Linked DNA regions of Caenorhabditis elegans. The protein of the gene in region 2 interacts with the protein of the main gene of each other region in a pairwise test. Each region holds a gene or a part of one and is shown on either strand. Other genes may lie near its edges.

Region 1 (8,871 bases), on a different chromosome or scaffold from region 2:
ATGCTTCTTAACGTTTTCAGTCACGAAAAATTTGTGAAACCAGAGAAAGGATTTTTCATATTATTTTAAAATTTTACCTTTCTAGATCCTTCCTTCAAATTCACTTTCTGTTAGCTTCTCCAAAACGAATCTTTACACCTTGAGCTTTGGAGAAACCGAACGTATGTAGACATCAAATATCAAGTAACTATCATAGGAAAAAGAGAATTTCGACGATTCGGCGACAAATATATTTTCGGATTCAGATTTGATATCACTTCCAACATATGCAAACCCAACTGAAAAATAAAGTAAAAAAGTTGGATGATTAGAATTTTAAATTTAAACTTTAGATTGATCATCCAGGTTAACTCTCTGAATTCATGTATACATAAATGTCTATTTCCAACGGGACGATCATTGAGACTCCATGCATAAATATTCTAAAAAAGTAATTTGATACAGATAGGTTCAGAGAAAAGTTTTCTTTGAATACAATTTCAGAATGGTGTCTCGGTCCCTAATGTTTTTTTGCGTGGCGAGATCTGGATTAATGTTTGTATGAACTCTAATTAAAGACTAAACATAAAACTTTGGTAATTTTCGAACTATGTTCTAAAAAATTAAATTAACAATATAATTTCCAAAAAAAACTTCAAAATTGCGAAAAAATTTTTTCAGCTGAGCTTTTGGTCATTGGTACACAATGTATGTACTACACATTAAGAAAACAATCAAGCTCGCATGAACAGAAAATCACTTCTCCCTAAAAACAAACAAGGAAAAGTTAACAAAAAGAGTTGAGAACGAGGATCTCATAATCTTTTTCTCAAACTAGGCGAACTGTGTGTAATCCTCTGAAATGTGTGTGTAATTCTACCTCCGCTCTCTTCTCGAAAACCACAATCATAAATTGTTGACCATCGAACTTTTAGAGAGTATGTTGAAGTGATAGAGACACAGAAATAGCTCCGATGGTGTTCCGCTGAGAATTTTCTAATTTCTATCATCAAATCATCATCATCTTTGCCACACACACACACACAAACACAGCTAAGAGCACATATTTCAACGTGTTTTACACCGAGAATGTATGTCTGCGTATCTTAAGAATCGTCCTTCTCTTAATAATTGGAAACGAGCTTCACATCACATTCAAAGACCAGCCGGGACCCTTCAAAATATAGTTTTCATGTTCCTGCTTTTTCAAACTTTTCAATTTTTTAAATTTTCAAGGTCCTCCATGTTTCATCCTGAACCTTCTTATGACACTTCTGTTGTATCTGATGGATGGTGCTACCCTGCTCACACACCTGGCAGTATTCCAGAGATAAATAGAAATATAGAAGAGAATCAGAAGAGAGAAACACAGACAAAAATCATGTGTGTTAAAAATATATATTATCATGTTCTGTTCCATCTTTATTTTCTCTTTTCCAATTCACCGCCCCCCTGCTCTTATCCGTTCGTTCGCAAACAATGATGATGTTTTGCTGTGCTTTTCTGAGCAGTTTTGCTCCCACGCTGTATTGGTCTACTAATTATAATAGGGTTTCTTAACAGATAACTGTTATTTTTATCGTTTGGGGCATTATTTCTATAATTTACTCCAAGCCTTTGTTACACACAGTAGACCTTTTTAACACTAACACTTTAAAAAATTTGAAAAAATCGGCCTTCGTAGAAAATCGTAAATACTTATCATTGGCGAAAAAATAAAGAGAAAGCTATAGCAATTTGTTTGTTTTCAGACTCTTTATACAAAAATTAGAGTAAGAATACTACTTTTTCAATTTTGCCCTTTTTTTTAATTATTCCAAAATCATCATTAACAAATATAACATGACAAATATAACATTGCTTGTTAGATGTTTTCGTTTTAAAGACTAAATAGTTTTTTTTTTCAATTTTAATCTCCATATTATAATCTAAAATCCATTTAGATATTATACTAATTTTTGGGCAATTATTTCCGTTCTACCTTTATTTGTCTTGAAATCAATACATGATTGATAGCATGATAACAATATGTGATAATCTCATCCTTCCAATTTTGCATAGACTCAGAAATTCAGTTTCACAATTTACTGCATATTGATCTTCCATTCCCATCACACATGCCTTCAACGTGATTCATTCAACAGAAAACTGTCCGATCGTCGAACATTAACCATCATCACTACTGTTCATTCCTTGTCCCCGTTTCAAAATTGCTCATTCCTTCCCACCCGTGCTTTTCCTTCCCTATTCCATCATCTGAATCTCTATACTTCGAGTGCTCTCTAGTATTTCTTTTGCTCTCGCGCGCGCGCTCGTCGCCACCATCACACTGACAACGACTTAACATTGTTTTGTACACGGATTATCAAGTGGTTTCCGAGAGAGATAGTGACTACGACCACAGACGATTCGAGACGGTATGACGGAATTGCCTGCTTGTCCTGATCGCCCTCTTGCACTTTTCGAACCATTTTGGTCTAGAAATTTGAACGAATAAACATTCAATGGAAGGAAAAGTGTGATAAGAACAATCCACTTGACTGTGAACAAGTGAAAAAAAAAGGATTCCGTATGACCAAAAGCCAACTGACTAAACTCATGAAACAACTACAGTGCATCTTTTTTCTATTTTCTTATCATGTTTTAATCGTTGCTCTTTCTCGTTTTCTCTTTCTATCTATAAATCTATTTATCTACAATATCTTTTCATTTTTCCCATCTCAAAATATTTATTTATTCTGTTCGTTCGTTTATATCAGTTGCAAATAATCAATCAATAATATTAATATATTTCCGTTTTTTGCAGGCGAGGCGACTTTTTTGTGTTTTCCCAATAGTGTGACGAACAGTGCACACGATTCAACGTCAGTTCTTGATCGAGGCTTTCAATCGATTACTCCCCAAAATTCAACGACCAAATTCTTTCTTTATTTTTTTTAAATATTCATTTCCCCAATTTCATTCTGCCGCATCAAGTGCAGAAGAAAATAATCATCGATCAGTGGAACTCTGAACAAGAACTCTGACGACAAAAAGAAGTAAAAGATATGGAAACTCTTCAGGTTCGTTTTTTTCTTTCTTTTCTTCTAACACCTGTCTGTTTTCCGTCTTTTAGAAATAAGAAAACTAGTCAATAAAAGTATCAGGTAAAAATGATTGGGATCAGGCTTGTGCGGCTAATTTGCCGAATTTGCCGTTTGCCAAGCTCGTCAAGTTTGGGATCTTGAAACGTAAATCTAGTGCTAGGACCTTTGTGTTTTTATAGACTATAATTTAACTAGAAAAATATGGAACAAAAACGAAAAAATTCAACTTGTTTAATTCATTTAATTAGTATCAAAAATAGTATACCTTCGAAAGTTTAATATAATTTTTCATTAAACGGCATTTGTTCAATCATTAAAAATATATTATCCTCGCAGTTCTTTTTGTCAGTGTTAGTTTATCTAATAGGAGAATTCAATATTTCGGAAAATCTCGAATCTACATACAATTCATTTTTGGAAATCACCATTAGGGGGAAATTGTGGAAACATGATTTTAAGTTTTAGACCCGCGTTATTTTTTAAATAAACATTATTGAAAGTTCTGAAAAACTTCATGATCAAAATTAAACATTTATGAGTCAAATTAATATTATTTTTTAAAGCCTCTGATTGTGAATCTTGTACCACATGTCGTTTCTGAAGTTCACTAATAGTAAGAGTTGCTCATTCCTTGTACTTTCATATAAAAAATAACAAAACATTAGTAAAAGATAAAACTAATTATCTTAACCTTCAGTTTTTAAAATTCTAAAATTTCAAATTGGCGTGTAACGGGGGAAAAGACATTCTCGATATTATGTTCTGATAGACGCAAAGGCCACAGATGGCCGCATTTTACAAAATTATTACGAAATTCGGTTTTTTGGCTACTCGAAATAATTTAAGTAAAAGAACCAGAAACGATGCCCCTTAATGTTTCTATTTAGCTAAATAAGTCTGTCGAATCTAGCTTTGTCTTGAAAAATATTTTATTGCAATTTGCAATCTTGTAAATTTTAAAAACAAACGCGCAGTGATCTTTTGAGCAGCAAACTTTACAATGAAACGTGCAAATGATTAATTAGATACATGAAGTTTGTGTGTAACATCAAAAGAATGCGAAACAAGACAGAGAGCACAATTTTCATTCTTTAGAGCTGCGGTGGTGGCTCTTACCTTTACTCTCACCTTACGAGCCCTTAGAAGTGCTAATTCTGGCATCCCAAACAAACCAAACACCGATGTTTCGGCACTTAATCAACTACAAAACTCTTACTTCATTGTGTGCCACTCCCAATCACACAATCACTCAAATCCTCACTTTTTCTTCATTCTTTTCACAAGTTGTCGTCTCTTAATCCATATTATCGATCATTGTTTCTTTTCTCCGCTCGAGACCGCGTATCTGATAACCGCATCCCTGTTCATAGTGTGCTGTCTGAATAGAGGATTGAGAGAAATGAGATGAGTGTGGTGCCAGAGCGGTTAACTGCAAAGTGTCCCATCATCACTTTTTCTTTCCGTTGATTCGTATTCTGTTATTCAAAAGTTCAGAATCATTGTCTCCTTTCTAGCCCTCTCTCATTCTCTTCCTCTCAAAATCAAAATCATTTGTGGAAAAGTGAATTAGCATAAACCATTGCCACTAGTCGCATTCCCCTGGACGCTACTATCAATTTTCGTGATTTCCTATAACTTTTCTACACGTTTCAGACTGAGAATCAGCTCATTGGAGAGCTGAAAGCACCAGCTACCACAAAAAAGCCCACCAACAGACCCGCCATGCAAATTTACCGTCCACCTGGTAAGTGACTTTACATTACTATTTGAACTGAATCTGTAAAGAGTTTGTAGAGTTTTTTAATTTTGGAAAAGTATAACTAGGTATCCCTAAATGTAAAATAAAATACATACGCTTATAAGACAGGATAGACGAGTAGGAATTTTAGATAGGCGAGTAGGAATTTTCGTGTCAGCATGGACTTGTTAATAAAAATTTTAACATCATCAATATAATTTTTAACGATATTCCCTTAGGACTTCGATCCGACGGTTCGTCCTCAACAACGGCCGTCACGACAACATCGTCAACGAAACCGAAGCCGGCAGCCGGTCAAAAGCTGTCCTCCAGCGAATGTGACACAAATGTCAATTCACAGATTTTGAAAGAAGGTGAGGAAATAATAATTTTAGTGTCGGCTATCGGTTAAGTGTTTCCAGATGTTAAACTTTTACAAGGGAAAATTTTTTGTCCCTTCTAATTTTAACTTCTTAATTTAAAACTTGAACAGATTGAATCGTTATTCCCAAATTAAACTCACAGACAATTTTCAGAAAATAATAATAAGAAAGATTGCGGCGAGTCGACGAGTTCACGTGCCAGCTCGCGCGCTTCCAACCATGTCTCGTCTGATGATCGGCACTCGAACGGAAGTTTGAAACGAACTGAAAGTTCATTAAGTTCCGAATCGACCCCCTCGTCACAGGTGAGTCTTGCAAACAACACAAAAAGCCTTGTTGGCACCTATATGACAAATAAAACGAACAAAAGTTTAGAAATCATACGGCTCTAACTCGAATAAGCTGAATGGCCAACACGTTAGCGGAGGCGCCCATCAGCAGTACAACAAGAGGATCAACAGCTCGAAGAAGGAAAATCAGAAGGTTTGTGTCTTCTTCACTCATTCAAACATAATTATTCCCGTGTTCTAGAAGAAAGTGATGAGCGAACATGAAATTGAAAAGGCTATCACTGAGTTGAGAGCCCTTCAACTACATTCGCATTCAATTCAAATTGAGCAATGGATCGGTGGAGCATTTTGTGATGAAGAACTTGCCGAATGTATTGGATCCGCTTTATGCCGTCATGCAATTGAAGGAGGTGGAGGTAGTGGAGTCGGAAAATTGTGTGCTAACTTTAAGTATGCACCATCCATTGGTTCCTTTGTCAAGGTGAGGATTTTTCTATCTCAAAAAAACATTATTTTATTAATTAAGGGACTAATCATCGCCCTCTCCCAATACTTGGAATGCAGGCATAAGATTCGCGAAGATCATTTCCGAATGTGGATTTCATTTATTCAATTCCTCACGGAACTCTATTCAAATTTGGGTTCTGATTCAAAAGGAGAACTTGCCACAATTGTGTTTGATGTCTTCAATTATCTTCTCCGTCCACCAATTCTAGAACATGTCAAGATTCAAGAATTGGAATGTCTCATTTCTATTCTTATTAAGGGTGGATACGATTTGGAGAGAGAATGTCCCGATCGGTTGGCACTGCTAAAAGATCTGATCAGGTACTGTAAAAACAATTGTTGGTCCCTTGGAATCGTTAAAGTAGTGACGTCATCATATGCAGAAGTTTGATGGCAAGAACACACTTTGTCAAAGAACCTGATATATAATAACTGAATATGCAAAGCAAAGTTTTCATGGCTATTTGTCTTTGTTTTCGAAACCAATGGTAAAACACGATGTTTTTAAAAGCATTAAATTTCTGATTTGTTTAGTATGTAGATGACAGATTTTTAATAACTAAATTTTTAATACGGTATGAAATGTTATCAACCCTCGGAATTTGAGGGAAACTTTCTGCCAAACTTTGTTTGTCTATATCTGCCTGTAAACGTTGTGGCTTTTTTGCCAGAATCTTGCCGACTGATTTGAGGACATTTTACTAAGTTACCGTGTTGTTGGCAGAAAGTTGTCCCACATACAAGAATCGAAATTTGTATCGTTTGCCTTTTAAGACTTTCGAAGTAAGCGTTATTTTTGAAATTTTCCTTTTTTCAATTTTACTTTTAACTTTATCATTTTTTACAGGGATGCATTCATTGACGTCTCCGAACCATGGGCCCGTAAAATGATTCTCCTTCTCTTGGAACTCGGTGCATCTGGATGGAAACTTCCTACAGATGCCAATGAATATTATTTCAATGAAACTTCAAATTAAGCTCTCTCTTTCATTTTTTTTTCTCTTTCTTTTGTATTTGTATATATTTATTCTCTAGTTGAACCTAGTAATTTCAAAAATTAACAAAACACCTCTAAAACATATTTCTGTCTAACCTTTTGTTCTCTACCGGTTCTCATCATTTTTTGTTACCTTCTTTCTGTTTTAAAGCATAGTTAGCGTTATTTTTTCAAAATGCTCTTCTCTTCTACATCTTTCCTACGTTCAATTCACTTTTTGGGCTTTTTATTCTCCTTTTTAAACCTCACGTGACATTATTTTGCTCTTTTTTTAATTTTAATTATTTTCATTTATACTTTATCATGTGCAACTAAATAAGAAATTTATCAAAATGTGTATCGTGAGAAGACAAATGTTGAAAACTAAGCACGTAAGAGTTTATAGTAATTTGAACTTCCCTTATTCAATCCCTTATTCAGAATCGTAGAGAAAGACCGCTCCCAGTTCAAAACGACACTGAAAAGAAGGTGAGATCACCCAGTTTCTCCCAGTATTGATACTTTCAGATATGTTTATCACCTCCCGGCCAATCACTAATGGATGAAGATGATACAATCAGAAAGCCTAGTGATAAGTCTGAAATAACAACAAAATGAACTGAGTATCTCAATGATCAAAATAAATACATTTAAATAAGAATTTTGACGAAAATAAAAGTGACGATTCCTTTCTGTAGTGTTTGTAGTTTTCTCGAAAAATATCATTTTCAATGTTCAAAGACCGAGAGTTGAATGAAATGAAGGTTTTGGAAAAAGGTAATCCAATTAAAATCTACAAAATTTATTCAATGTCACCGTTTGATTTCTAAGATTTTTGAACAGAGGAACATGTTTCGAAATTTCAACAGAAAAAATTATAAAATTCAGTATTGTAAATAATTCAGAAATTATTGGAATGCATTATAGCGATCTTCTGAGTTTCAATAAATTGGGATATTTGAACCAAATTGAATGAAAGATCCAATTCAGAGTCATTGGCCATTTGCAAATCATCTGGAACAATTTCAACTTGACTAACCAATTTCAGTTGTCATCTGGTTTTTTTTTTCAATATCATATGATGATGTTGCACATTTATCACGCTTGTATTTTCTACTCACGGTGGCGTGAGAAAATCTAGGTTCTACAGCTGGTTTTTGCAATTGTAGAATTTTTGTTTAATGTCATGTTTTTGAAGAGCTTTTTCAAATTGTCTTAGATTCGGTAACTGTTTCAGGTATTAGAGATGCATTAAAATAAGCTTATTATCTTATAAACTCACATCTCGCCATTTTGTTTTAGCAATAAATTCAAAATCAAACATTCGAAAATCAAAGTAGAAATTCCTTCACCACTTTTTTGGTCGTTTGAATTCTCTTGAAACTTTATTACTCATTCGCCTGACAGCTCAAAGCTTAAAGTAGCATGTCTAGAAAATAATTAGCTGTTATATCAATGTTGAGAGTCTTTGCTGTTAATGTTGTTTTCAAGTCATTTTTATCATTTCAGAAGTTTTTGATATGTATTTTCTAGAAGGCCTAGTGGCTCAAGATAAGAAGTGTACAATATGTTCCCGACCAGCATCCACTCGTAATCATGGTGTGAGTTTTCTCACTAATAAAATATTTTGCAATGGGGTTTTATAGGTTCTATCGTGCAGTGCATGTAAAATGTTTTTCGCCAGAACTGTTCAGAATAAACTAAAATACGAGTGCAAAAAAGAAAATCAATGTTTGGGAAACTTTTCTCATCGAATCTGTCAGTCATGTCGCTTTGAAAAATGTTTGAAATTAGGAATGCGATGTTCTACTACGAATGATTTTATTATCAATATAGAGCATTCGTCGGATAAAAAATTTAGTCGATTGCTTCAAGATTTAGTATCCAGGGATAGTCGAACGTACTCAAAGGC
Region 2 (7,016 bases):
CCAAGATCCGTAAACGGACCGTACCCGCTTTGCCTGTGTGAGCCTCAACCAAAATATTTTTGCAGAAAACTGTCCCAAAAACATGCAAACTACAGTATTATTACATATTCTCCGTTGTGGAATATTGCAGACGAGTATGATATTATGTGGCCACAAACTATGCAGGATATCTATATTTCTATTGGTAAGGCATAAACTGTAAACTACAAACTACAAACTACAATTTTTTTATCACTATAGTTTGTAGTTTGTAGTATGATTCTTGAATACTAAAAACTACAAAAATACTAATTTCAGCTGTCATGGTTCCGGTCGCACTGCTCTTCATTCCACAACCACTCTGCTCAGTTATTATTGGTGAGTTTTGTAGAATTCGTAGTATTTGTAGTCTTCGTTGTCTATGTAGTCAAACATCGCAGGCTTAAATATCGCCTCCATCGCATTCGGAGTCATCGGAACCATGTCCTTCCTTGGTGTCAGCCTGGATGCCACGTCAATGATTACTGTAGCAATGAGTGTCGGATTTTCAGTTGGTAAGACTTGGCTACAAGCTACAAACTACAAACTTTAAACTACTAACTACAAACAATAAACTACAAACTACAAACAATAAACTACAAACTACAAACAATAAACTACCCAATTTTTGTAGCCTTCTCCAATTATATCGTCGAAAATCTGCACCCTTCACTACTGTTTTGAAAGCTCTTGGGGAGCAAAAGTCTAAAAATTTTACAAAAAAAAATTAAAAAAATTTCCAGATTTCGCCGCCCACGTCTCTTACGCGTACATGACAGAATCTGGAGCCCAAATTCCGGGAAAAAGTGCAATTTATTCACGATTTTGTCACACTTTGGGTACAATCGGCTGGCCAGTCACACAGGCTTCAGTTTCCGTACTTTTGGGTGTTTCTTCGCTGTATTTGGTGGATAGTTATGTGGTTCAAACGTGTTTTAGGACTGTTGTATTGGTTATTTTATTTGGTAAGTGTTGTGTAAATTCGCTCTAGTGAACTTAGAAAGTTTGGAGGTCTTAGGGGGCCTGGGAACTGACATGCGGGGTGATGGCCTAGAAAATCCTAAATGTGATTTTCTAGGCCACCTAATTTGGAATTAAAAAAAATTTTGGTAATGAAAATGAGCTCTACCAAACTACTTTACTCATACATCTCCATAACATCTGGGAGTTCACATATAGTTTGGTGGCCTAGAAATTTATAAAATTTTTGGTTTCTAGTCCAGCAACTTCAAAAATTTCAAAATTTGTGATGATCTGCTTTACTGAAAATTTGAATCACAGCTGAAGCTAGTACTACCGTACCCCAAATTTAGAACCCTAAGAACTAACATACATACTGGTGGCCTAGAAAACACAAAATCTGAATTTCTAGGCCAGCAACCTTTAAATTCATTCCAGGTACCACCCACGCATTGGTCTTCCTTCCACTTCTTCTAATGAACTGTCACAGGGTATTTGACTACTTTAAGACAACTTCCACGACTAGTACGGAGCCGTGAAATTGATAAAATATCAATTTTTGTGCAATTTGTAACTTATTTATTTATTTCGTTTGTACATACATGTTTTATTTTGGTTTGAAATAATTTTTTATTCACAAAAACTTGAAAGCAATTCGATATCCAAATTTCAGGTTCCAAATTTCAATCTCGTTATCTGTGTCTCTCTAGGAATTCGTTCTTTTCCGATATGTTTTAGAAAAAGAGACAAAGAGAAAAATAACAATGTGTTGATTATATGTAAATGATTATGTAAATTTGTGCCACCCGAAACTCCCTGACCGTTTTGAATGATGTCTGAAATGATTTTCCGAAATGGAAAATTGAGGTGCAAGATGAGAGATGCTTAGACTACAAACTACAAAACTATCTTAGCCTGAACCAAAAAATACACAGTATCTCAGCAACTGATTTCCAGCAAGAGTTACTGTGTTGTAAAGTACGTAAAAATAAAAACAAAATTTTAAAAAACCAGGTAACTTTGCAGGTGAAAAGAAAAAAAACCAATTTTTGGGATTTTTCGATTTTCAAAATCTCATAACTTTTACTAAACTTATCAGATTTTTCCAATTTTAATTTATTTTGAAGCTGAATATGTTTTCTTATAATAAATCAAAATTATTATCTGATTAACAAAATTTTTTTAAAAAAAACCTAATCCCAAAAGCTCCAAAAAAAATTTTTTTCGAGTTTTGGAAATTTTCAAAATAGCATAACTCCTTTCAAAATTGTCCAAAATTTAAATTTTTTAACTTTTTTTGAAGCTCAATTTTTTAAAACTTTTTTTTCAGTACCACAAAACATTCCAACCAGTGTTTCTAATTTTCCCCGCCGATAAAGTCTTTTGGAACTCAAAATCAACGAATTTTGATAATTAATTTCAGATAAAATGACAGTCTTTTGTGCCAAAAAATGATTCAAAAATACCCCTAATATTCAATTTCCCTTTCCCTCATTGCAAATTTTGTTGTAAAGAAAAACGGAAAACAAAAAGAGACAGAGATGATAGGAACAGAACAAAAAATGGGCGGAGCCAAACTGAGTGGCTCATCTCCGAGAGAATGTGTAAAATCAGGAGAACACAAAGATATTAACACACGGGCGGTGCTGTTCAGTTACACGACGTTTTCATCCCCAAAAACGTTACCCCTAACGTCCCGCCGATATTTCGAATTTATTTTAAAAATTACGAACGATTTTTGGATTTCTGAAAAAAGTTTTTAAAAAACTTTTTTTCGGATTTCCTAAAAAATTTCTTCTACTTTTTCACTGTCCACCAACATCTCCTGCCACCAGCCAACACATTCTTTCTTGCACACGAAACTGTCATTTTAATCTGAAAAAATAATTAAAATCAAAATCAATTGATTTTGATTCCCAAAATCTGAAAAACCATGCTTCATAACTACGACGACTTTGGCGGCGGGAAAATGCAGGGCGCGCCTCAGGTGCCCCGAAACACCTTGTTGAGTGTTGGTGAGTTATTTTTGTAATAATAAAAAAGATAATTGTTTGAGCTTCAGAGTAACTTAAAATTTGGAAAATTTAAGCAAGTTTGAAGAGACTTAAGTTTGGAAAAAATTCGAAAAAAAATGTTTTTTTTTGATACTTTTGAAACTGAAACTTTTTTTGACTTATTGTCATATATTAGTCTAAATATAATTTAAAGTTAAAAGAATATATATTAAACTTCAAAATAAAGTAAAAATTAGAAAAATCTATTGGTTTTGAAAGGAGTTATGATATTTTGAAATTTGGAAAACTTTCGAAAAAAAATAATTGTTTTCGAAAATTTTGAAACATGTGTTTTTTGTAAATTTTTTGTGCAAGTATAGCTTTCTGTAAGAATTAATTGTTTTCCATAAAAAAATTTGAATTTAAAAAAATCTGATAATTTTGAAAATTTAAGAAATCTCGAAAAAAATGTTTTTTTTTTAATTGTGAATCTGGTTTTTTTTTTGGTTTTTGTATTTTTCCTATAAAATTAAAATGTTTTTATAAAAAACAAATATTTTGCTTCAAAATAACATAGTAATTGTACAAATTGGGTAATTTTGGAAGAAGTTATGAGATTTTGAAATTTTTTAATTTTTTAAAAATAATTTTTTGGAAGTTTTGAATTGAATTTTTTTTCAACTGATAGTGAAACTAGAAAAAATAATTTTAATTTTTCGATAACAATAAAAATTTTAGCTTCAAAATAAATGTACAATTTGTTAAGCCCGATTTTTTTTGAAAAAAATTACGGCATTATATAATATAATAATAATAATATAAATATATAATATTCTGATAATATTCTGATCTGATTTTTTGTGAAATGTTTGCAATAAAAAATTGCGAAACCTGAATTTTTGTGCAACTTATTTTAAAAAAACTGTTTATTATTTAAAAATTTTAAAAGCTAAATATTCAGCTCCAAATTGTATGACCAGTTTGCATACAGTTAATATTTTTCAAAGAATTTTCTAGAGGTAAATCAAGGGATTTTGGAAACCCTTTTGTAGTTTGTAGTCCCTCAGTTTGTTCCCAATTTTATAGATTATTTCTGATTTCATAAGCGTTTTTGCAGTTCGTAAACTCAGATTTCTCTCACAGCTGCACTCGATTTTTACACACTTTTTCTTTTCTCCCGGGTGCTCTTCTCTTTCTCTGCGTTTATTCATCCCACATACTCTCTCACATATTCACCCGTTCAGCTCATATATCATCTTAGCTCGTCAAAACGACAAGTTTCTGGTAAAATACTGATTGTGAAAGTAGAGGAAGGGAATTCTACAAGAGTTTATAACTACAAAAAATGACCTCAACCGAAAATATGTTGGGTGAGGCTATGAAGCTTTGTAGTTTGTAGTTTGATAGACTGAACCAAAAACTATAGAGTTGAAGCCATGGGTGCGGGTTTTTCAATGTTTTCAGAATTCTCATGAATCCAAAAATTCCGTTTTTTGATTTATCCATTTTTAGAAGAAAAGTTTTTTTGTTTTATCAGCTGGAATAGCCATCCCGCAGCCCAGCATAAGGCTTAAGCCTAAGACTAGGCCTAAGCCTAAGACTAAGCCTAAGCCTGAGCCCAAGCTTCAGCTTAAGCCAAAGCCTAAACCTGAGCCTAGGTCTAAGCTTAAGCCTATGCCTAAGCTTAAGCTTAAGCCTAAGCCTGAACCTAAGCCTGAGGCTAAGCCTAAGCCTAAGCCCTCGTGCTAGGTAACTTTGTAGTTTATAGCCAAAAACTCAACTAATCAAAAAATAATATTAGTTCATTTATTTCCATCTAAATCAACCCATGTTTAACCCAATTTTCCTCCCCCTCCATCGTTACAAAGTCGATCAGCAAATACCTGAAAAGCGGCTCGCCGAGCCGCCACTTAACATTGTACAGAAGCCGACAAAGGAGAAATTGTTAGAAATGAAAAGACGCAGACAATGTTAAAGAGTTCATTCGTGTATTTTTGATATAAAATTGATAAGGATTAAGTGGGGGGAGAAGACATTTATTTGTTTTTGGAGAAATGAGAGATTTTTGAGACTTTTCGTGAACTTTTAGAGGTAAAAAGGTAAGGGGTTTGGAGTTGGGAATTTGAAAATATTTAATTTGAAAAAAAATATTATTCAGAAAAATTTCAGTATTTTGTTCAGTTTTCAGTAATGATTTCAATTTTCAAGTTAAAAAAAATTGTTTTAAGTAAAATACAGTTCAGAATCCACAAAAATTGATTAAAAATTAAAAATCGACATTTTTTGGTTTTTTTAAATTTTTTTTTCAACAGAAAAAATCTATCAATCATTTCAGCGTTAAAAAAATCTTCAAAAATTTTTGTGCCGAATTTTTTAAAATCAAAATAAAATACCAAAATTGATATTGCTATTTGAAAATTAAATAATATACTTTTTAAATTATTTATTTGATTTATTTTCAAATCTATGCGAACAAAAAACACACCACATACTACATACTTTAAATATTTGTTTAATTTTCAAAAGTAAATTTTATTTTAAAAATCCAGTATTTATTCAAATTAGCTAGAAATGTCAAATTAATTCAGCTTAAATACTGAAATTTTAAAAACTTTATAGTTAAAAAATTTGCACAATCAATTTATTTTAAAATATGATTAAAAGTAAAGAAAAACTTTTCAAACTAAAAGTGAATATTGAAAAGTTCTGAAATGTTTTTAAATTTTTGGTACTTGTGTATTATTTCCCCTCGTTTTATTATTATCCATTTTAATATAGCGTGATGTCCAGTTTCCCTTCTTAGGCTTAGAAATGGTTATTTGCTAAGACTAAAAATACAAAAACTCCACACGTTTTTATTTAAAAAATTATATTTAAAAATGAGGGGAAATAATACACAAGTACCAAATTGTTTTAAAATCAATTATTAAATCTGAATTGTTAACGTTTATTTGAAAATAGTAATATAAAAACGGAAAATTAAATGTAATTTTTTTTAGAAAAATACAATGTTTTTTTTAACTATCCAAGTTTAAAAAAAAATTACTTTCCAAAAAAAAATTCCAAAAAAACATTTTTTTTTCAGAAATTTTTTTTCCAAAAATCCAAAACTCTCCAAACTTTTTCCAGACCAACAACTACAGCTAATGAACACAATCAACAATATGGTACGTGCGAGCCAATTCACTTCACAACTCGCAAACACGATCTTCACACTTTGTGCTCAACTCAAAACTTCGGGTTCGATGCTGGAACAATCACATAAAAGTGAGTGGCCTAATTTTTTTTTTCGGAAAGTCAGGCCATCAAAGCTCTATAAGTGAATAAGTGAAAATTGCAGAAAAAATTCAAAAAAAAAATTTTTTTTGATCATTTTTGAACATTTTTTCCAAAGTTTTAAAACTATAATAATTTCAATTTAAAAAATTTTTGCAGATGAATTAAATAAAGTTTTCACATCATTACGTCAAGCATGCTGTCGAGATAATGGACAACTTGGGACACCGTGTCGATTGAAAATTATGGAACTTGTCGAATTACGGGCAATGAATTGGAGAACAAACTTGGCACACAGCCAATATTATGTCAACAGGCCGGAAGGACGTAAGACTACAAACTACAAACTAGAAAACTACACGCCACAAACTACAAACTATTAAAAAACCTTCGTGTGTTCCAGAACATGATCCAGCTCCAACTGTCGGCATTCCACCGTCTGCCACGTCACCACCAACACAAGTGACGTCATCAGTGACGTCACCTGTCCCATCGTCACCTCAACCGCCAATGCAATTTGTACCACAGAATCCGATGATGTTTCAGGATCCAATGGCTGCAAATCGTACGTTTTTTAAAAATAAGTTTGAGTTGGCGGGAAATTTGAAATTTTCGGAAATTTCGAACAGTTTTCGAGTAGAAGAGGAGCATTAGGGTAGTTTTAAATTTTAAAAAATTCTATAGTTTGAAAATATCTATGTAAAAATTAGAAGAAAAATAAAAGGATTATAAAAAATTAAAATTAATTTTTTTTGATTTACTGAAATT

The links. The genes of interacting proteins can lie anywhere in the genome.
Region 1: the proteins of mxt-1 (region 2) and F44A2.5 interact in a two-hybrid assay, tested with the Caenorhabditis elegans proteins (2 studies listed by BioGRID).

What each region holds. Positions count from the first base shown.
Region 1 is NC_003283.11:9,294,847-9,303,717, forward strand, and holds F44A2.5 (MIF4G domain-containing protein), read left to right. Parts: upstream 1-2,785; 5' UTR 2,786-3,026; coding exon 3,027-3,041; intron 3,042-4,718; coding exon 4,719-4,809; intron 4,810-5,042; coding exon 5,043-5,177; intron 5,178-5,328; coding exon of another isoform or gene 5,329-5,339; coding exon 5,340-5,491; intron 5,492-5,561; coding exon 5,562-5,669; intron 5,670-5,717; coding exon 5,718-5,957; intron 5,958-6,002; coding exon 6,003-6,304; intron 6,305-6,830; coding exon 6,831-6,960; 3' UTR 6,961-7,351; intron 7,352-7,400; 3' UTR 7,401-7,448; intron 7,449-7,487; 3' UTR 7,488-7,650; downstream 7,651-8,871. Other genes in the region: nhr-39 (Nuclear Hormone Receptor family), read left to right, coding at 8,480-8,560, 8,606-8,871.
Region 2 is NC_003279.8:12,841,717-12,848,732, forward strand, and holds the start of mxt-1 (Eukaryotic translation initiation factor 4E-binding protein Mextli homolog), read left to right. Parts: upstream 1-2,552; 5' UTR 2,553-2,911; coding exon 2,912-2,993; intron 2,994-6,101; coding exon 6,102-6,239; intron 6,240-6,407; coding exon 6,408-6,575; intron 6,576-6,651; coding exon 6,652-6,813; intron 6,814-7,016. Other genes in the region: ptr-17 (SSD domain-containing protein), read left to right, coding at 66-184, 298-357, 420-533, 762-983, 1,417-1,517. UniProt on the Caenorhabditis elegans protein: Plays a role in promoting translation.